3 linked regions of the Arabidopsis thaliana genome follow. The protein of the gene in region 3 purifies or fractionates together with the protein of the main gene of each other region. This does not show direct contact. Each region holds a gene or a part of one and is shown on either strand. Other genes may lie near its edges.

Evidence for each region. The genes of interacting proteins can lie anywhere in the genome.
Region 1: the proteins of AT5G64270 (region 3) and AT5G06890 fractionate together in Arabidopsis thaliana (co-fractionation; one large-scale study listed by BioGRID). This does not show direct contact.
Region 2: the proteins of AT5G64270 (region 3) and AT1G14640 fractionate together in Arabidopsis thaliana (co-fractionation; one large-scale study listed by BioGRID). This does not show direct contact.

The regions. Positions count from the first base shown.
Region 1 is NC_003076.8:2,131,920-2,136,443, forward strand, and holds AT5G06890 (Ubiquitin-like superfamily protein), read left to right. Parts: upstream 1-3,823; coding exon 3,824-4,024; downstream 4,025-4,524. Other genes in the region: PGIP1 (polygalacturonase inhibiting protein 1), read left to right, coding at 454-994, 1,064-1,515; PGIP2 (polygalacturonase inhibiting protein 2), read left to right, coding at 2,022-2,562, 2,646-3,097; CYP93D1 (cytochrome P450, family 93, subfamily D, polypeptide 1), read right to left, coding at 4,241-4,524.
Region 2 is NC_003070.9:5,019,742-5,026,455, forward strand, and holds AT1G14640 (SWAP (Suppressor-of-White-APricot)/surp domain-containing protein), read left to right. Parts: upstream 1-3,684; 5' UTR 3,685-3,819; intron 3,820-3,910; exon of another isoform or gene 3,911-3,911; 5' UTR 3,912-3,914; coding exon 3,915-5,975; intron 5,976-6,067; coding exon 6,068-6,214; downstream 6,215-6,714. Other genes in the region: AT1G14630 (XRI1-like protein), read left to right, coding at 254-332, 586-770, 879-930, 1,091-1,183, 1,433-1,704; AT1G14642 (uncharacterized protein), read left to right, coding at 6,623-6,664.
Region 3 is NC_003076.8:25,702,998-25,714,042, reverse strand, and holds AT5G64270 (splicing factor), read right to left. Parts: upstream 7,436-11,045; 5' UTR 7,300-7,435; intron 7,179-7,299; 5' UTR 7,135-7,178; coding exon 3,325-7,134; 3' UTR 2,714-3,324; downstream 1-2,713. Other genes in the region: DiT2.2 (dicarboxylate transporter 2.2), read left to right, coding at 632-1,402, 1,534-1,847, 2,036-2,484, 2,598-2,713; EXL2 (EXORDIUM like 2), read right to left, coding at 9,146-10,063.

The DNA.
Region 1 (4,524 bases), about 24 Mb from region 3:
AATAGAGCCGTTTGTGATAAATCTCTTCCAACGGTCGGATCGATTTGAAGATGACCATAAACTTTGTTCGATATTTTCTTATAAATATGAACCAAAATCTAAACTTTCTCTCAAATCTTATGTTTGTTGGATAGATCAATTGGGTTACTTAAATTTGGATGAACTTTTGAGAAGTTGTATTAGATGGTGAAGACATTGCCTCAGTATACATTTCCAAATGCTTCAAGGAGATATAACTTGCACCGGTTATAGCCTAATTATATACAACGCGTAATTGCATTACCCAAACATATTCAACGCCGACATCTTGACTATATGATATGTATTGACTATTATTACGGTCCATGTGGAAACAGAGATCAAATCGAATCCGTCTCTCTAAGTCTATATCACTCACTATATAGTATGTATATGTATCACTAACACTTTCCATCAAAATTCAAAACCAACACCATGGATAAGACAGCGACATTGTGTCTCTTGTTCTTGTTCACATTCCTCACGACCTGTTTGTCTAAAGATCTCTGTAACCAAAATGACAAAAACACCCTCCTCAAGATCAAGAAATCTCTAAACAACCCTTATCACCTCGCTTCATGGGACCCTCAAACCGACTGTTGCTCCTGGTACTGCCTTGAGTGCGGCGACGCCACCGTTAACCACCGTGTTACCGCCTTAACCATATTCTCCGGCCAGATCTCCGGTCAGATCCCGGCTGAAGTCGGTGACTTGCCGTATCTTGAGACCCTTGTCTTCCGCAAACTCTCTAACCTCACCGGTACAATCCAACCCACCATCGCCAAACTCAAGAACCTCCGAATGCTCAGGCTCAGCTGGACGAATCTGACAGGTCCAATTCCTGACTTTATAAGTCAGCTCAAGAATCTCGAGTTCTTAGAACTTTCCTTCAATGATCTCTCTGGTTCCATTCCAAGTTCTCTCTCTACGTTACCTAAAATCTTGGCTCTTGAACTTAGCAGGAACAAACTTACAGGTAAAGAACGATCTTTTCCTTTATTACATCATTCAGTGTCTTGTCTAAACAACGATCTTTATGTTGTAGGTTCCATACCAGAGTCATTTGGGTCGTTTCCAGGAACAGTCCCTGACCTTCGCCTATCACATAACCAGCTCTCCGGTCCAATACCCAAATCATTAGGCAACATCGACTTTAACCGGATCGATTTATCCCGCAACAAGCTCCAAGGTGATGCTTCGATGTTGTTTGGTTCCAACAAAACAACCTGGTCTATTGACTTATCAAGAAACATGTTCCAGTTCGATATCTCAAAGGTTGATATCCCTAAAACACTTGGTATCTTGGACTTGAACCACAATGGGATCACTGGGAATATTCCGGTGCAGTGGACTGAAGCTCCTCTTCAGTTCTTCAATGTTAGCTACAACAAACTGTGTGGACACATCCCAACTGGAGGGAAACTTCAGACATTTGATTCTTATTCCTATTTTCACAACAAGTGTTTGTGTGGTGCTCCTCTTGAAATTTGCAAGTAAACCAAGCTTATCTCTAGGATTACGAAAAAATATATTTGAGTCAATAATATAGACAAATATGTAATGTTATTCGGATTGATTAATAAAACATGAACCAAACCTCTCATTTGATGTATTCATAGCACATTTTCAAAATGTTTTATTTGATGGATTAATCCTACCTTAATGGAAAAACAGGGGAAATATGGATAACGGAATCTCTGAGTGGTTTGGTATGGTTTCTCGATTCGATTTGGGTTTATATCCAAACTTGAAAAGTAAAACCAGATTGGTTTAAACAAAAAAAAAAAGAAGAGAAAAACCCTGATTTCCTTATTCTTCCAAATTCCCAAATTTCTCAAATCGTCACAAATATAAATTCCAAAATTTCTGCACCGAAACTTGTTTAAAACGTGGTCTAGTCAGCAAAATCATTACTACATCTGTATCGCACCATGCATTCATAGCCTATATGTATATCAATCATAGTTTCCATAAAAACTCAAAACACAAACACCAAAAACACTATGGATAAGACAATGACACTGTTCTTGCTCTTGTCCACTCTCCTCCTCACGACTTCTTTAGCTAAAGATCTCTGTCATAAAGATGACAAAACTACCCTCCTCAAGATCAAGAAATCCCTAAACAACCCTTACCACCTCGCCTCATGGGATCCCAAAACCGACTGTTGCTCTTGGTACTGCCTCGAGTGCGGCGACGCTACTGTCAACCACCGTGTCACTTCCCTAATCATACAAGACGGCGAGATCTCCGGTCAGATCCCCCCTGAAGTCGGTGACTTACCGTATCTTACATCCCTTATCTTCCGCAAACTCACTAACCTCACTGGTCACATCCAACCCACTATCGCCAAGCTCAAGAACCTCACTTTTCTCAGACTAAGCTGGACCAATCTCACCGGTCCGGTTCCTGAGTTTCTGAGTCAGCTCAAGAATCTTGAGTACATTGACCTTTCCTTCAATGACCTCTCTGGTTCCATACCTAGTTCCCTCTCTTCATTACGTAAACTCGAGTATCTTGAACTTAGTAGGAACAAGCTTACAGGTGAATAACTCTGTTTTTTTTTGTCTCTATTAGTCATATCCATTAATCTCATGGACTAAACTAAAGTTTAAACTTCCATATAGGTCCGATACCAGAGTCATTTGGGACGTTTTCAGGAAAGGTCCCTAGTCTTTTCCTATCACACAACCAGCTCTCTGGTACTATACCAAAGTCACTAGGCAATCCCGACTTTTACCGCATCGATTTATCTCGGAACAAGCTTCAAGGCGATGCTTCAATCTTGTTTGGAGCTAAAAAAACAACATGGATCGTTGATATATCAAGAAACATGTTCCAGTTCGATCTCTCCAAGGTTAAGCTCGCTAAGACACTTAATAACTTGGACATGAATCACAATGGCATCACAGGGAGTATTCCGGCTGAGTGGAGCAAAGCTTATTTTCAGTTACTGAATGTTAGCTATAACAGACTGTGTGGACGCATCCCCAAAGGAGAGTATATTCAAAGATTTGATTCTTATTCCTTTTTCCACAACAAGTGTTTATGTGGTGCACCTCTTCCTAGTTGCAAGTGAAGATTCCAGCAAAACCAAGCATTATCTCTGATATACCAAATAATTAATCAAGTCTAGTGACAATTGTGTTTTTATTTTGAATGATTAATAAAAGCATGAACCAATGTTTTAGCTTGATTTCATTGATTAACGGAAAAAGTTGAACAAAAAAAGTCTACAGAAAACTCATTCCAATCAAATTAAGTGGGTCTAAAAAATTAGTATGAATCGAAATTATAAGCCCAACTAATAAGGCCCATTGGAAAACCGTTTCCTTGATTTCCAAGCTTTAGATCTAAGAAGCCGTTTCTTCTCAACGTCAGGGCGGTTCTCGCGGCGGGACTGAAGTACGATTGTTCTTATCTCTCTCCGGGATCTTCAGTAGTCATTTGCTTTGCCGATTCCTTTTTCCATGGGAATATTCATTCGAATCTAATTTGAATGTTTTTCGTTTTGTAAGGAAAAAAAATGATGCAGAATGATTTGAAATCGGGGCAGAACAATTCAGAAAGCGCTCAGGATATCACCAATATTTCATGGATACCTTTCAATTCTTAAGAATCCACCACCACACATGGAGCATCTAACTGAGGAAACAGAGCCAACAAAACAAAAGTTAGGTCTTGTTCCAGAAGACCAGTTTCTTGCTCAAAATCCGGTAATGTTTTCTCCTGACTCTTACCTTCTGTTTTTTTTTTTGGTTGTATCTAATTAGCGGTCATACATTTGCACGGTTCCTCTACGATCATGGTTTCTGTTCCAGACGTCAATGATGGGCAAGTCATTGAGATCACAGTGCAGTCCTTATCCGAAAACGTGGCAAGTTTGAAAGAGAAAGTAGCAAACAAACTGAAGTTAAGGGGAAAAGCCGGGATTTTAAAGGACGATGACAAGTCACTTGCACATTACAATGTTCGAGCAGGTGACATCCTAACACTGTCTTGGTAAAAACGGATGCAGGTAAATGCTATTCAATCTCTCAACTCATGTTAAATAGAGAGATGTTTTAAAACTATATACATATATGTAACTGACTTAAGTTTGTTTCAACTACTTAGTTTATTTTATGTATAAAACAGAATTGCCGTAAACGAAGTATAAGTAAAAGTACACAAGTGTAAAGTTTTCTTGCTCTTTGTTCATTTTCTTCTTCGAAATCATTAGCTAGAAGTTGACATTTGGTTCTAGTAGAGAAAATGATTGTGTAGCCTCTTTAGCAACAGGAACACACACTAAAGGTGTAGCTCTAGGCAAAGATGATCCAGTCCCTTCATCCATATCCACACTTCCCTTCACTTTCAGCTCAAAACACTGTATTATTGCAGCTAAAATTATTGGAACGAATCTAAACACCATTTTCTCTCCAGGACAACTTCTTCTCCCAGCTCCAAAAGACATCATCTTCTCACTCATGACCTTCCATTCACTCCCTTCAAATCTCTCAGGCC
Region 2 (6,714 bases), on a different chromosome or scaffold from region 3:
AGACTGTCCAACCATTAGTGTAATTATCTTTTCTTTATAGTTGACTGTATTGAGTACTGATTTTTCTCCTTCCAAATTTCTTCTCTGCTTTAACTTGTTTTCCCCTTTTTCTTTTCCATTTTCATGCTTTATTTGGATTAATTTCAATTTATTTTAACTTTTTACTCACAACCCACCAAGATATATAGGCAGCCACATGGTCTCACCTTAATTCAACACATTCACAGTCAATCCACAAATCATTAAAAAAAATATGAGTGAGCTTTCATACTCTCTCCCCTCTTGGGATCTCCATAACCTTGGATCACTCTTCAACCAAAACTTCAATCTAGGTATAGACAACAACGATTTTATATTACAGTTCTTTTATGTATATTTATAGAATGATTTATGTTAAGTTTGCTGGTGGATTCGTGCAAACAAAGAAAAAGTATATTTTCGTTGTAAGATGAATGTATTTAATTTGTGCTAGTAATTCAAGAAAATTTCATTAAAGATATATATATATATATATATATATATATACTTTTTTTTTTCTATACACACACATAATGTGAGGAATTTGGCCATGCAATGTACTTGTAGATGCATGGGGGCTCATTGATGAATCGCCGGAGAATATATTCTGTTCACCGGAGATGGAAATCGGGGACGTTTCCACCGGATACCTTGAAGACGCACTCATTGAATTCAGTGGGAGAAGCAAACGGAGACGTCTCTCGTTCAACGGCGCCGAGGACAAACCAGATAACGATTTAGACCATTCTCAGGTTTATATAATTACTACTCTGTTTTTTGGTTTGTCATTTACGTAATTATTCCGTATTTTTCATTTGTTATGAAACTGATTTAGTTGATCGCGGAATATAATAATGCAGAATCATTGGGGTCTGTCTGAGAATTATAGTTGCACGAGTAGTCAGTTTGCAGGTGAGACCTACTTCTTTATTATTATCACCCATATTTTTTTGAGGCATATTTATTATTTAATACTATTAACATATAAATGATCAATACATTAGTGCTGTTTTAATATAAATAGTAAGTTAATTGAATAATCTTTGTGAATAATTTTCTTATATTTAAACAGACGAATCTCCAAATTCTTCCATCAATATATGTTCTGAAGAAAAATCCTCAATTTCGTCGAGAAACTCTTTCGAACCATCCTCGTCCACGTCAAGTAAGCATATTGTATTTTCTTCCGAAGTAGTGAATTATATGGGACTTTTTCGTTTTTGTTTATGCGTAATTGTCCACAGTAGCTATAATTAAACAAATCAATCATGAAATTTCACTTTTATTCATTTGCGTTTTGCGTTTATAAAATATTTAATATTAATAAAATTATGTGTTTCTAATCACATGCAAAGCATTTTAAACACAAAGTCCGATCCCGAATAAACACTGACGTAACACTTGTGCATTACAGAAAAGAATGACTATGACGAGAAGAAGAGGGTGGTGTATCCATTTGGAGTGGTAAAACCAGGTGGTCGAGAAGAAGATATAACTCTAAATGACATTAATAAGAGGATTTTAATGCCATCGGCTAGGCCGGTTCGACATCCGGTTGGAGACTTTGCATGTCGTCCGTGTGTCTCTGCAGATGGACCGGGTCTATCAGGCAAAGCCGTGGTTGCATTCACGAAGATACAAACATTAGGGAGGGGCACAATTACTATTATAAGAACTAAGGGATGATATATCATATATGTAATTAATATTGGCTATTAGAGGGGGGTCGTTATAATATGTACTGGAGATGTTTCAAAAAGACTAATCATTGGTTGACATGTTCAAACCTATTGTTGTATATAATGAGAAATGGTGTATATTAGTATACATGCTTTTCCATTTTCTTAGAAATCTTCCTTCTAATTATTTAGAAACCTCTTAAAAAAGAATCAAGATAATAGATATCTTAGAAACTTACTAAACAAATTTTCTTAAGAAATCAAGATTTTGTATGTATTGACAAAAAAAAAAAGTTCTCTTCTTTTTTTCGTTTGATATATTATGTTTTTTGCATGTTCGTGCTTTTTGTTCTTTACCCTTTTTCCCCTAGCCAACCCTTTTGTTCTTTAGTAAAAGAAAAATTCAGTAGACACCAAATAAATAAACGAAGCGTGAAGAAGAATAAATAACAAAGAAATTAAAGCAAAAGAGAAGAATATGCTGAAAAGCAAGAACAAACAAAAGAGAAAGAGAGAGTATTTATAAGTACCTTATCAGGAAATTCTCAAAGATGGTTATATGATTTTAGGCAACAAGCTTTCTTATCTATATGTTCGAAATACTTAAATGATTATTAATTATTACCATATAGTCAATATTCTTAATGTATCATATCGAAAAATCTAAAGTGGATTTTACTTTTAAAATTTGAATTGAAAGAATAAACAAGTCTATAATTAGTAATTTTAAAATTACCAAGCTTCTACTACAATTTTTGAATTATAACAAGTACAATGAATCATTTTGTTTCAGCAAATTTAAATTTCGAATTAGAACAAGTATTGTCTCCAAATTTTATTTTATACTAAACCACCAATGTATAATTAGTTTAAATTAAATGAAACTAAAATATAATATAATACCTATTTTGTAAGATCAATGTCATTATGGGCCCGATGGTAAGCCCAGGTCGATTTGCACACAGTCAAATACATGACGTCATATAACATATATGACGTTTGTCAGCATTTTCTGGTCCGGGACAAAAGATCAGCAATCACTCGTACTGTAGTCAGTACTAGTAATGTAATGCTCAAGTGTTTAGCATGTGGGAAAAATAAAACACATTTTCAGGTGGTTAGTGACGTGGATTGGTTAATAATTAACAATCGCTAGTGCTCTCTTTTTTAAAGATTTCTTGAAATTAAATGGAACACCTTTTTTGTCAATCAAATGGAACACCTAACTACTAATTTACCGGTCCTTTCCATTATTTTTCATCTCCAAACGACCAAGATCAACGTAGCTTTTGACCTTAGTGGGTTGGGTCCATGTTGGTAGACCATGGTTAAAAACTTAAAATTAAGTAATTAACAAAGCTGAATAAACAACAATATTTTGAATTTTTTTCTTTCCTCATTTTTTAAAATATTGTTTTTGGGGGTGAGAATAGAGTGTTTTTTTCTTTAATTAAATAGATGAAATACAAAATCAAACATGTAAAACTCCATAATATTATGTAACTTTGACTTGTAAATAACATCCAAATTTGATAAAACCTAATTTAAAATCAAGTATTTATCAAATTTCAGTTCAAGATAAAATATTGAATTAACACCAGATTTAAGCCAACAATTCAAAATTTTAACCTAAAAACTTACATAATCTTTTTTTTTCCAAATAAATTTAGATTAAATATAGTATGAATTTAGGATTTTTAAAAAAATATTATGCTATTATAATAAAATATATCTTTCTAATTTATATTCATGCATTTGATTCCTTATCTGTATCAACCATATACAATCAAATATAAGTCTCTGTTGTTAACAGAAAAAAGAAAAAGAAATGATTTTTTTATAAATTAATATAATGATGCAGATCGTTGACGAATCGAAAATAGTCGGTTTAGGCGTCTAGCAACTTATATGGAACAACTTTTTAAGCCCAAGTGAAAAAGCCCAATAACAAACTTGAATACAGAGTATATATATATTCTAGGGTGCGGTTTCTTCCCTCGAAGATCGATTTCCATTGAATCCGTCTTGTACGCTTTTAGATCACGATTTGCTCCGTCCCTCTCTTCTTCTCCACGTCACGGCGATTCTCGCGGCGGTGCTATTCCTTATCGGTTGAGATACGGTATGTTTCTTAGGTCAATTATGCTCAATTTTGATTTTCCCAATGTCATCAGAATCTGATGCTAATGTGTTTTTTTTTTTTGCTCGCTGCAGAAAATGTTCAATTCGATGAAGATACTACCACTGGAGGCTCCTCCTGCTGACGGGAATTTAGGTCCACTTCCTCCGTCGCAATTAACGGATGAAGAAATCAAAGAGAATGAGTTTCAAGGAGAGCAAAACAATTCAATTCAAACTCCCATAGCTGTGGCTACTCATACGAATCCAATCGGAATCATTTATCCACCTCCAGAGATCCGAAAAATCGTCGAGACAACGGCTCAATTTGTTTCGCAAAACGGTTTGGCGTTTGGAAACAAAGTTAAAACAGAGAAAGCCAATAATGCTAATTTCAGCTTTTTGAAAAGTGATAATCCTTATCATGGCTTTTACCGGTACAAGGTCACTGAGTATAGTTGTCATATTCGTGACGGAGCTCAAGGTACTGATGTAGATGATACAGAAGATCCCAAACTTGATGATGAGTCTGATGCAAAACCTGACCTTCAGGCTCAATTTAGGGCTCCTCGTAAGATTTTAGAAGCACCTGAACCTGAGAAGTATACTGTTAGACTTCCTGAAGGGATCATGGAGGCTGAGCTTGATATTATTAAGCACACGGCGCAGTTTGTGGCGCGGAATGGTCAATCGTTTTTAAGGGAATTGATGCGTAGAGAGGTGAATAATTCTCAGTTTCAGTTTATGAAGCCAACACATAGTATGTTCACTTTTTTCACTTCTTTGGTTGATGCGTATTCTGAAGTATTGATGCCTCCCAGAGATTTGAAAGAAAAGCTGAGAAAGAGTGTTGCTGATTTGACGACTGTTCTCGAGCGTTGTTTGAATCGGCTTGAGTGGGATCGTTTCCAGGAGGAGGAGAAGAACAAAGAAGAGGATGAGAAAGAGAAGGAGAGAGTGCAGATGGTTATGATTGATTGGAAAGATTTTGCAGTTGTTGAGTCTATAGATTTTGCAGACGAGGAGGATAAAGATTTGCCAATGCCTATGACACTTGAGGAGGTTATTAGGAGGAGCAAAGTTTCAGCCATGGAAGAAGATGAAATTGTTGAGCCTGGAAAGGAAGTTGAGATGGATATGGATGAAGAAGAAGTTAAGCTTGTTGCAGAAGGAATGAGAGCAGCGAACCTGGAAGAGTATGTTGGCTCTGTGGAGATTGAAGAAGAAGCACCAATGAGAATTGTTAAGAACTGGAAGAGGCCTGAAGATAGGTTTCTGACAGAGAGAGATTCGAGTAAAGTTGTTATATCACGGATTACTGGTGAGCTGATTCCCATTACCGAGATGTCTGAGCACATGAGGATTTCTCTTATTGATCCTAAGTTTAAAGAACAGAAGGATCGGATGTTTGCTAAGATTCGTGAGACAACTCTCGCACAAGATGATGAGATTGCTAAAAACATTGTCGGGTTGGCCCGCCTCCGTCCTGATATCTTTGGAACAACAGAAGAAGAAGTTTCAAATGCTGTAAAAGCAGATATTGAGAAAAAAGATGAGCAACCGAAACAAGTAATATGGGATGGTCACACTGGAAGTATTGGTCGCACAGCAAACCAAGCCTTGACTCAGAACTCCAATGGAGAGCAAGGCGATGGCGTTTATGGTGATCCCAATAGCTTCCCTGGTCCAGCTGCTTTTCCTCCTCCTCGACCAGGTGTCCCAACTGTCCGGCCACTGCCACCACCTCAAAATCTCGCCTTGAACCTTCCTCGTCCTCCTCCTTCTGTTCAGTACCCTGGTGCACCAAGGCCATTAGGTGTTCCAATGATGCAGCCCATGTATCAACAACACCAGCTCTCTATGTCTGGGCCACATGGACATCCTTCAATGATGATGAGTCGACCACCACAAATGCAACCTGTTATGCGTGTGCCGCCTCCACCGGGATCTCAGTTTTCTCATATGCAAGTTCCTCAACCTTATGGTCAGCTTCCACCGCTTTCGATGGGGATGATGCAACCACCACCTATGGCTGAGATGCCTCCTCCTCCACCACCCGGGGAGGCACCACCGCCTCTTCCTGAGGAGCCAGAGCCAAAAAGACAGAAGCTCGATGAGTCAGCCCTTGTTCCAGAAGACCAGTTTCTTGCTCAGCATCCGGTAATATTTTCTTCGACTCTTGATTCATTTTCTTATCTTTTATCTTTCTTCTTTCGTTTGAGTTGTATCTTACCTGTTTTACACATTTTCAGGGTCCGGCTACAATCAGGGTTTCTAAGCCAAACGAGAATGATGGACAAGTCATGGAGATCACAGTGCAGTCGTTATCCGAAAACGTGGGAAGTTTGAAGGAGAAAATAGCTGGGGAAATGCAAATTCCAGCAAACAAACAGAAGTAAGTGGAAAATCTGGATTCTTAAAGGACAACATGTCGCTTGCTCATTACAATGTGGGAGCAGGAGAAATCCTTACACTGTCTTTGAGAGAACGTGGTGGGAGAAAGAGATAGAGACAACTGGTGGATTCAGGGAAATGCCTTTTAATCTCTTAATTCAAATTAGGTGTTCCTTAATAGATGTTTTTTATTGGTGGCCAAAGCTATATGTACTGCCTGCTCTTTATTCTAGCTCATTATATCTCTACTGTTACTGACTTAGGTTTGTTTTGGATTTGCAGCTAGTTTTGGGGCAACGCTTTGCTCTGTAATCTTAAAATAACATATTGGATACTTTGGTTTATGCGTTCTTACTACTGTTAAGCATTTTTAGTGAAGCTTTGTTTCTCTTCTTTGTAGGTACCATACGAGGATGCTGCCTTGCTTGTTTTCTGCGGGATCATCATTGTCGAAGGTACACACGCAATTAGAATAGCTAAGATGTTAGTTGAAACATTGAGAACC
Region 3 (11,045 bases):
TGTTGTTTTGTTATTCAACAATGTCTATAGAATATGTTATAAAAACTTGAAAAATAACTTCACAAGGGAAATCCTACAAAAAAATTATAAAATAAATCAGCTTATTTGACAAATTTGAAATAAACTTAAGGATAAATATCGGATTAACGACTAGGATTCTTGTCACTTTTTCTTAAGATATATATTTTGATATATGGTATTTCATGTTCACCATCATTATCTTGATTATGATCATTATCAACATTTATGATCTCAGAAACTAAACAAGTCTTCAAACAATCATGAAAATCAAGAGAGAGTATTTATAGTAAACAAACGATCATGAGTTTTTACTTGATTCAGTAAATAATTCTGAATTTTCGAAAAGATAACACATACTGTAATTTGGTAATTTCGTTTTATGGTCATACAAAATACAAACAAGTTAATCCAAATGTGAAAATTTTGAATACTTCTTAATTTTAAAGTTTTAGCTAAATTATCTTTTAATTAGTAAAATATGAATAATGGGGAAAATAAGAATAACGTTTTTATTTAACTTTTTTTTATAAAGACAACAAACAGAGAGTTTCGCTCCTCCGGTGAGAAAGTAACACTTTGATATCGGAGAACACACACTCTCTCTCCCGGGATGGAGAGTTTGGCTCTCCGTTCAATCTCACTCTCAGCCTCCTATCTATCTCTCCATCGATCTTCCTCCAAATCATTTGCGTTACTTCCACCGTCGATTTCCGTACACACATCCCCAACACTCCGATCACTCTCCATCTCTTCCCCTCGATTCACTCTACGCGCCACCGCCTCTTCCTTGCCGGAGGAACAAAACAAACCTCAACCTCCCCCTCCTTCTCCGCCGCAGCCGCAAGGAGCGAAGCTAATTCCTCTCGCGATCTCCGTCTCAATCGGCCTCATAGTCAGATTCTTAATCCCAAGACCAGAACAAGTAACCTCACAAGGATGGCAATTACTCTCAATCTTCCTCTTCACCATCTCAGGTCTCGTCCTTGGTCCTCTCCCTGTAGGCGCTTGGGCTTTCATTGGCTTAACCGCTTCAATCGTCACCAAAACGCTTCCTTTCTCAACCGCTTTCGCCGCTTTTACCAATGAGCTCATTTGGTTAATCGCTATTTCTTTCTTCTTCGCTCGTGGATTCATCAAAACTGGTCTTGGCGACAGAATCGCTACTTATTTCGTCAAGTGGCTGGGGAAAAGCACTCTTGGTCTCTCTTATGGTCTTGCGTTCTGTGAAACGCTTATGGGTTTGATTATGCCGTCTACCATGGCTAGAGCCGGTGGCGTTTTCTTGCCGGTGATTAAATCTTTGGCGATCTCCGCCGGAAGTTATCCCGGAGACCCATCTTCCAGAAAATTGGGTTCTTTTCTCATTCAAACTCAATTGCAGGTAATAACTCAAAGACTCTAATCAGTAACTATAGCTTGGTCTTTGGAAATAACATCAACTATGTTCATTAAGCATTAAATGTTTGGAATGAGAAATTGTATCTTGAAGGGTTTATGTTTTGTCTGTGACAGTGTTCAGGAGCTTCTGGTGCGATTCTACTCACATCAGCTGCACAAAACTTGCTATGTCTCAAACTAGCAAGAGAAGTTGGTGTTGTAATCTCGAATCCATGGATCACTTGGTTTAAAGTCGCTAGTGTTCCTGCGTTTGTGTCTCTTCTTTGTACTCCTCTCATTATCTACAAGCTTTACCCTCCTGAGTTGAAACACACACCAGAAGCTCCGGCTGCAGCTGCTAAGAAGCTCGAACGATTAGGTCCCATCACGAAAAACGAATGGATCATGCTCGGCGCTATGGCTTTCACCGTCTCTCTTTGGGTTTTCGGGTACGGTTTCTTGCAGAATTTGAACAAAGCATCATTAGTATCATACAAGAGAAATCGCATAAAACTATTTAGTGTCTAAAACTAGACGTATTGATACATAAGTCTATAACTACATAAAACTCACTAAAAAAGTTTTCAAAATCAACGTTAACCATATTATGAACTTTATTTTTCGTATCTCCTTGCAGAGAGGCAATAGGAATAGCAAGTGTTGTGTCCGCGATGATAGGTCTATCAACACTTCTGCTGTTGGGAGTCATAAACTGGGACGATTGTCTCAGTGACAAATCAGCTTGGGACTCTCTCACTTGGTTTGCGGTTTTGATTGGTATGGCTGGACAGCTAACAAACCTCGGTGTCGTTGCTTGGATGTCGGATTGTGTGGCCAAACTGCTACAATCTCTCTCCCTGACTTGGCCCGCGTCATTCATTATTCTCCAGGCTTGTTATCTCTTGATACATTATCTATTTGCAAGCCAAACCGGTCACGCGGGAGCTCTCTATCCGCCTTTCTTGGCGATGCAAATCGCTGCTGGCGTGCCTGGGGTTCTAGCAGCGCTTTGCTTGGCTTTCAACAACAATCTCTCTGGTGCTTTGGCACATTATAGTGGTGGACCGGCTGCTTTATATTACGGAGGTCCGGTTTCTTCTCTTTCGAAGTTTTTATCATATTTCTCATATCCTTAGTTATCGAATTAATCGACCATTCAACACTTTCTTACAAAAAAAAATATTGGTCTGGATCTGCAGCTGGGTATGTAGATCTGAGAGATATGTTTAGAGTCGGGTTCGTGATGGCTCTTGTACAAGCGATCATCTGGGGAGGTGTTGGATCTTTCTGGTGGAAATTTTTGGGTCTCTACTGAACATATAGAACCGAAACCATTCCCTGAGCGTTTGACCGGAACCCAAACCAGTCCAAACACAACCATAATTTCGGTTTTGAGGGTATCTGATTCAGGTTCACACAGCCAAATACCAATTGGTTTTCTTGTGTTCGTATATTAAAGATGTAAACCGTAGAAGTTAGAACATTGTATGTATGTATCCTGTTTTCCTTCGGCAGCGAATTCTCAGTTAAACCTGAACCAAAATCAACCACCATAAATTCGGTCCAAATTCAGTAAGATTTCAACGAGTAAACCAAATTTATGAACAAACTGACACAACCAATTTCCACAGTAATATATGTTCACTCAGTCTCGCAATATGAAAGATCTAAACAGCTCTGCTTATTTGGAGTCTTGACAGATTTCTACGTTATTTCATGAACCTGCAACTGTAATGCATACAAATAACATGAAACTTAAGTCAATAAGAAATAACCAAAAGTGAACATAGGTTTTCTAGTTATCAGAAAAAGAAAAGAAACGTTTCTGTGTTTTATACAAAGCAAACCTTTGCAATAAAGCCAAAATACCAACAACTACAGGTGACTAGAGAGTAATAGAATCACATCGAATCCAGAATCTTTCTTTCACACAAACATCGTCAACTCCGGTCGGCTATACACATTGTTCTGCTCGTCTTCAAGAACCGGGTAAGCAGCAACAAGGGTGTCCTGAGCACCAATGTATAAAGAATTGTATATCTTCCAGTACACTTCGCGGACCTTGCGCGCCGGATGAAACAAACCCTGCAAGCAATAGTTCAGAATTACAGCTGCTCCTAATGCGACTCGCATTCCTTCAATGGCTTCCATCACTGCGTTAATGACGTGAGGAGATGTCTCAAAAATGTTGGGCCAAATGAAGTTAAGCAAGTGAACCAAGGCGTCTTCGCATCCCAACCCAGCTACACCTAGAGCCATATGTTTCACAGCTGAAGCAGCCGTTTGTCTATGAACCAAATCCCTGTCCATGAGAGCGTCTTCAAGCAACGGTGTAACTGCGTATATGTAATCTTTGCCCATCTCTCCAATGTACTCGAAGAGGAAGGAGAGAGATTTCAGAACACCATTTTGGACGTTTAGCTCTGGAACACGGTACTCATTCATCAAAGCAGGTAAGACGGTGAAGGGAGAGCATGTTTCAGCGACTATGGCGATTGCAACTGTGGTGCAAACACGGTTCTGACGTTCTTGGACTTTGAGATTGTTAAGCAACGTGGCTAGAACGTCTTGTGGCCCAATGGCTTTGGCAATGTACCCAAAAGTGTTGACAGTAGCACGACGAATACCTTTCTTATGAGCTTTAAGCATTTCAAGAAGCTCGAAACAGATTCTCATCCATTCTCTTGCTGGAACAAACTCGGCACCACGATCAGCAATCCTACCAACAAGATCGATACAATTCTCTTGCACTTTCTCATGCCTATTCTTCAAAATCGGGGTCAGCCTTGGTAGAAGATCCTTAATAGGAGGAGTCATCTTCGTCATACCAATCACATTGACTATAGCTTTTAAAGCCCCAAGAATCGATCCCAAGACTTCTGGGTACTCTTCTCCAAGATATTCATACAAAACAACACCTAGATGTCCCATCAACTGTTCCTCTCCGCATTGCTTCATAACAACTGCAATTCGAGAAATCAGATCAGCAGCTTGCTGTCTTACCTTTGCACTCTTGTTGTTCAATCGCCACTTGATGGTACCACAGATCTGGGGAAGATAAGGCTTTACTCGCTGACCAAGAGCATTTACTACAGCACCGAATCCATTAAGCATCACATTAGCATCGTCACTAGTCTGTTCTTGAAAAGCATAAAGAATGCCATCTATGAGCAGTTCCTCCAACCTCGCATCAATATCAGATGCTCCTAAGTTTGTGACAACCTTATCAATGGTTTCCATAACCATACGTCGATACTGTTCACTCTCGTCCTTGAGATCTTCAACAACTCTTCCCACAATATCTGCAACACCAACCTTGTTCGCAACCTCCACAGTAGTTTCAACAAGCTGCTTATAGTTTCTCCTCTCCAGAGCCATTTTCCTTGTCCAGAAATTCCTGAAAAACTCGGGCAGAATATCACTACGAATGTATTCCGGTTCAACACCCTCTGTACTTACACACTGTTTCACCACCTTGAGGACGATCTTCTTCATCTCTTCATCAGGCGACTGGAACTCACGAATCAAGATAACCATGACTTCTTTTGTATAGTAGCTCGCATATATAGCATCCATCAAGGGAATGATAAAACCGATCGCCTTCAAGAAAGCAGCTAAAACTTTACCACGGTGCGACCTAATACCTTTCCACAAAGGCTTCAGAACAGAATCAAAGCTCTCAATACCATATGGAGCAGCAGCTTCAGCAAGAGCAGCCAGTGACAATGCGGTAATAGTCCTAACCTTCTGGTTTTCATCACTAAGACCATGTTCGATAATCTCTACCAAAGACCTTAAGTGAGGCAGGACAGCACAACCAATTAGTATCGCAATCTGCTGAACAATCTTGATTCCAGTATGCCGTGCCTGCCATGACCTTTTACTCTGGCACACAGCTTTCAGGAAAGGCAAGAGTGCAGGGATTCCAAGAGCTGAAGCCACCACACTGAAAGCTCTCGCTGTTGTGTTCCTCACATATTCATCGATGTTGTCAATATCAGGACGCATAGCTGCAATCATAGAGGCCAAACCAGCTGCTTTGCTAAGGTTAGAAATAATCTCTCTCCCTTCTACACGAGCATAATAATCTTCATCAATCAGCAAAGGCTCAATAACAACAAGGATTTTGTGGACGTAAGGCCTTACCATCTCATCAAGTTTGTACAGAATTCTATCAATCACTTTGACCAAAAGATGCCTCTCTTGATCTTCCAAAGTGGGTTGCATGAGCAATGGCAAAATTTTATTGAACAAAGGACCAGCACCAAGTTCACGAGCCTTATCAGTAAGCTGCCTCAGCGCTGTTTTCCTCTGGGGAGGAGTTCCATTTTTAACCTTTAACAACAGTTTCATTATCTTGCGTTCTTTCTGCTCTTCAGGAGACAGCTCTTCTTCGTTCTCTTCATTTAACAGAGAACCAAAATACTGATAATCCTCTGGTTTCATAAACGGCAAACCACCAGGAACTTCTGGGGGCACATCATACTGTTGCCCACGGTTTTCCTCAGGAATAACATAGCCAGGAGTTGCCATGGGTGTCGGGGTTTGTTGAAGTTTCCTCGCAGGGGTTCTGATGGGAACATACGTAGCAGGCGGATCCAAAACCTTGTATCCATCTTTAGGAAACATGGCATCAAGCTCTTCATCACTCAATGGTCTGTTTCTTTCCTCGATATCCTTCTCCCACCTTTGCATATTGAGCTGCTCGGGGGTCATAGGACCACGGAAAATAAGCTGACCCGGAGTCGGAGTAGCCATATCAATCCCACCAATTGGGGTAACACCAGGAGTGTAAGCTGCACCAGGAGTGACTCCACCCATAGGTGTAGCACTCCCCATAGTGGCTGGTGTTTCGTCCCACCTTGAACGTTGACGCTTTGGGGTAGGCGTGGCAAGCCCGTCCCAAGTAACACCTGAAGGAGTAGCACCGGGAGTAACACCACCACCAGGTGTTGCATCAGAATCAGTCACACGACCAGGTGTAGGAGTTTCGTCCCACCTGTTCCTTCGTCCAGCAGATGGTGTGGCATCAGAAACTCTCCCTGGAGTAGGAGCATCCCATCGTCCAATCCCTGGAGCTGCATCAGGTAAATCCCAATCTGAACTTGCTGCTTTAGCCTTCTTTGCAGCAGCACCGTCTTCTTCAGGGAGATCCCACCTGTGTCTCCTCTTGGAAGAGGAAGAAGAAGAGGAAGCAGGAGGAGGAGGAGCAGAATCTTTCTGATGCTTCGCAGCAGCTTCTTCTTCCTCTTTCTTCTTCTTGGCAATGAGTCTCATAGTTTCCTCTTTCTCCCTCTGCAAAGCCGTCTCCCTCATATGGTCCGTGTAAGTACGAACACTCGCATCCGGCGTTTTGTCGCCCATAGCAAAGGCATCAACTCTATCCGGAGAAAGAACCCGATTGAGTCTCCTATTCCTATATTCACCCTCACGTTCGGCAATACTCTGCCTAGGTTTAAATCCCACATCGTCATCTTCGTTGTGAGGACGAGCCACGTCGTTAAGAATTGACCTAGGAGCAGTATAAGACGCGAGGCGCTGAGCCACAAGAGAACCAGTGGTGTCCAGATTCGCATCATCCTCCTCGTTAGGTGCAATAGAAGTCGAGTAGGAAGCACGGTCGTTACCTCCGTATAGATCGCGATCGAAAGTCAGAGAAGTGAGAGAAGCAAGGTCTGCTTCCATCTTCCGTCTTTCCTCCTGAGTTTTAGCGATCTCTGGATCTAGATCCGCCATTATCAGATACTCAACGAAGCTTTCTCCAGCAAAAAAAGAAAGAACTGAGAAAATCAACAAAGCAGTGAATCAGAAGAAAACAAAACGAAATTGAAAACAATCGGAATCAATCAAATACGAGAGAATAGAATCGTATATCGAAACGAAGATTGGAGAATAACTCACCGGTAATCGGAACTCGTCTGCGGATGATTGTGGGGAGGTAGAGCGTGAGAAAAGGATGAACTAGGGTTTATCCAGATGAAGCCAGAAAAAAAAATTATTTTAGGATTTGGAGAGTTATTGAAACCGACCAATTGTGGGGGAGTCGGTTCTTAAACTTCGGGTCAAGTTTTAATTTGGGCTAATAACTTTTATAGATTGGGTTCAAGTAATCAAAGCCCATAAGCCCAATTATAATTTTGGTCACTACGTCTGTTCTAGTGGCCATATTTGATCAGATAATTAGAAGCCCAATACAGATAAGGTATACAGCTTTTATGCAGATAAGCTGGCGTATATACCTATTGCTGCATACCTCCTTCTTTTGGCCAACATTGAAGTTGAATAGAAACTAACTAGAAAGGCTTTCTTTCACCCCCGAAGCAAACAAAAGCCTTTGTTAATTTTCATGTTGAATTCAATCATATAGGTGAGCCAATTTTTCGGTTATTAAGTTTTTAAATATACGAATAACCTTGTACTTTTTCCAAAATACATAGAGACAACATGAACTATTTCAGGTACTTTAAAATTTATGATCAAAATAAATTTTCATTTGGATATAAATTAATATATTCCATAAGAATTTGGAAATTTCAAATTTACACAAAACATCCTTGTAAAAAGTGTATGCTTACATAATTTTCTAATCATTAATACACACAGCCACGAATTTTATTTAAAATCTATTATATATGTGTCGTAACCCTAAAAGATATAACAAAGTGTATTTTATTTAGCATTATCCTCAATTCGTCACTAGCTTATTTATTTCCACATATAGCCGAAAGTCCGGATCCACTACAACTTAATCAGGTTTATTATTATACAGAATGCATGATAAATTATGTCATGATCAAAATCAGTATATATAAGCTACATACTGATAAATAAAATAAAAGGCATATAAATGATTGATTGAATCTAGATGAGCCTTTTCGATACTTAAATGTTTCAAAGTTTTCTTTGGCATAAAGAACGGAGGCAAGGGAGAAGAACTTCTTCACCAACCCCACTGACCATTTTCAGAAAATACTTAATACCTAAATTACTAAAATTTGTAGGAATTTCGGTGATTAAATTCACTAGATTACTTTTTCACCTGACAATAATAAATATTACCCCCATTTTGAGGTATTTTGATTGCTTTAAGAATTCGGAAGTTTCCAAATTTGAATGTTTAGTTATTTGTTGTTACCTAACAAATAAAGATAGATTTGTTTAGTTCAAAGAGAACAAACTTTAGTCGCCATTAAAACAGTTAAGGATAGATTTGTAGTTACAGATAACATATTATCATGCATAAAAAAATTCAAAAGTTACTAATAATATGAAACGAGTACTTACAAAGCAATCAATTTGGTCTCCTAGGCCCCAACACATCTTCCTTTCTTTAGTTATCAATTTTATTACAAAATTAAATACAACAAATAACATTATTATCCTCTATACCCACTAACATTTTTTAAAAAGGTCAGATACCTTTAAATAAATTAATTAGTACTAATACAAGCTTTGATCATTCTTGCTGCAAAACCGAATGCATTATTAAATTTGATAAAGTAGAAACAAAATGATTTTTTATTATTTTATATGCATTCTTCACATTTCCGAGTACAGTTTTTACACGTCATTACAAAACGACAAAAAGCAAAGAGAGAGCCCTATCCACAATCCAAACCCGAGACCCAAACCCGAAAGATTTTTTTATACACACGCTCGCGTGCAACTTGATTTTGACTACACATGCCGTCTAGATCTCGTCATCGCTCTCACTACTATGCCACGTGTCTTACTCACATCCCTTGGATCAAACCAGAGTCTTGCACGTCGAACTCTGCGGATCCCACATCGCCGGCAATAGATATTTCCTACCGGCGAGTCCACGAGCGTTGTAACTAGACCCGGTTGTTTTGTCAACAAGTACCCGACCCGCGTAACCCGGATAAGAACCTGACCCGAATATACCAGGACAAGCAGACACAGCTTCAAGCGGTGCAGTTGGTGGGCCTTGGTAATATCCGTTATTAAACGGATTCGTCACGGTGTTAGCTAGAAGTGTGGCAAGGTTTATAATCATTCCGTCAACTCCAACGTCACCGTTAGGCGCTACTAACGGCGGCGTTTGTGGTCCGTAAATCGGCTGGTGAAACGGCCACGCGCAATATCCAGGGCACTGCGTCTCGGAGTTCCCGACCCATACGTAAGCCGCGCCGTTAGCTGCGCGACGGGGATTCGAACCGGAGGATCCGTGAGTCCCGCACCGGCTCATACAGAATCTTTCGACGGTAACATCTTTCGCCGTTAGAACGACGGTTATGGAACGGAGACCGCCGTTAAGTTTGGTGGATAAAGCACGGAGGTAAGGATTTTTGAGAGATTTTCCGAGAGGATAGTTCTCGAGTAGAAGCTGTTTCCCGACGACGAGTGTTGAAGAGCCACCTTTGTATTTCTCCGTCGTCTTCCACCACGAAGCAACGGAAGGAACTGCGGCGGAAGATGCAACGTCTTTGGAGTTTAGCGAGTGGATGAAATCGACGATTACGGACCGTTGGATCGGTGTGAATTTCCCGTACCATACGAGATTGACTGTGATGTTACCTTTCAACAGAACTCCGTTGTGGTATTTCATAACAAGCGGCTGCTCCTCGACCAACGCGGCGGCGGAGAAACCAGCGGTGGCGAAAAAGAGAGTGAGGAAGATGGCAAAACGGTAATTAGAAGCCATTGAGAAGGGTAGTTATATCAGATTGAAGAGATATAGGAGAGGTTTTGATTTGGGGTTTATAAAGATATACAGAGGTATTTATACCAGAGATGTTGTTTTGAAACCGAGAGAGGAGTGTGACAGCTGTAGTGGCTAAGGTGTCAATATCAAAGATTGCCACGTGGAGAGATGTGAGTGGGTAGGGAAGGGTGTTTGACAGCCTGTAAGGTTCTTATAGTGTGACGTGGTTTAAGTCTTCATAACGTGTATTAAATTTAAGTGATGCTTAGCCGATAAATTTGTTATCAAACAAAGAAAATAAAATTAGTGTAAGATATTTTGCCATGCAGAGAGACAGATCCATTTGTAAAAGAAGATTAATAAGTGAAAAAAGAAACTTTAAAAGTAGTGTTTAGTAAGATAGCTTTATTCTCTGAATGCAGTAGTTTTCTTTTAATCTTTGAAAGTCTATTAATACAAACCGAGTAAGTTTAAATGCAAAACCCACTTTAAATTTTAATGCAAGAAATTGATTATGAAATTCAGCTAATAGCTACTAGTATTAAAATGTAGTTATTAGATCAACTGGTTTTTTAAAGAAATTGGTTGTAGTTGTTTTGGTTTTGAATACCAAGATATACATTGATTCAACACATATATTATCAGAAACCAGTTTGATTTGACTATATATTTTGCCATTGTTTCAATTACACATATCTTTCCCTTGTTTCAATATAAACATAAATCTCATCTACTCTTATATATTGCCATTCATGATTAACCATAGACTTATATACTCTTTATAAAGATCTGTATTAGTTGAGTAACTATTTTTCCGTCTAGCATATAAACACATCCTATACACATTTTTATTTTCAGTCACCTGCCAACCATGAAATTTTAATATCACTTTACACTATGCCCAAAAAAAACAAAAAAAACGTCGTCACTTTAACTCGTTCTCTGACTCCGCCTCGCAATCTCACATCATGAGGCATGGTAT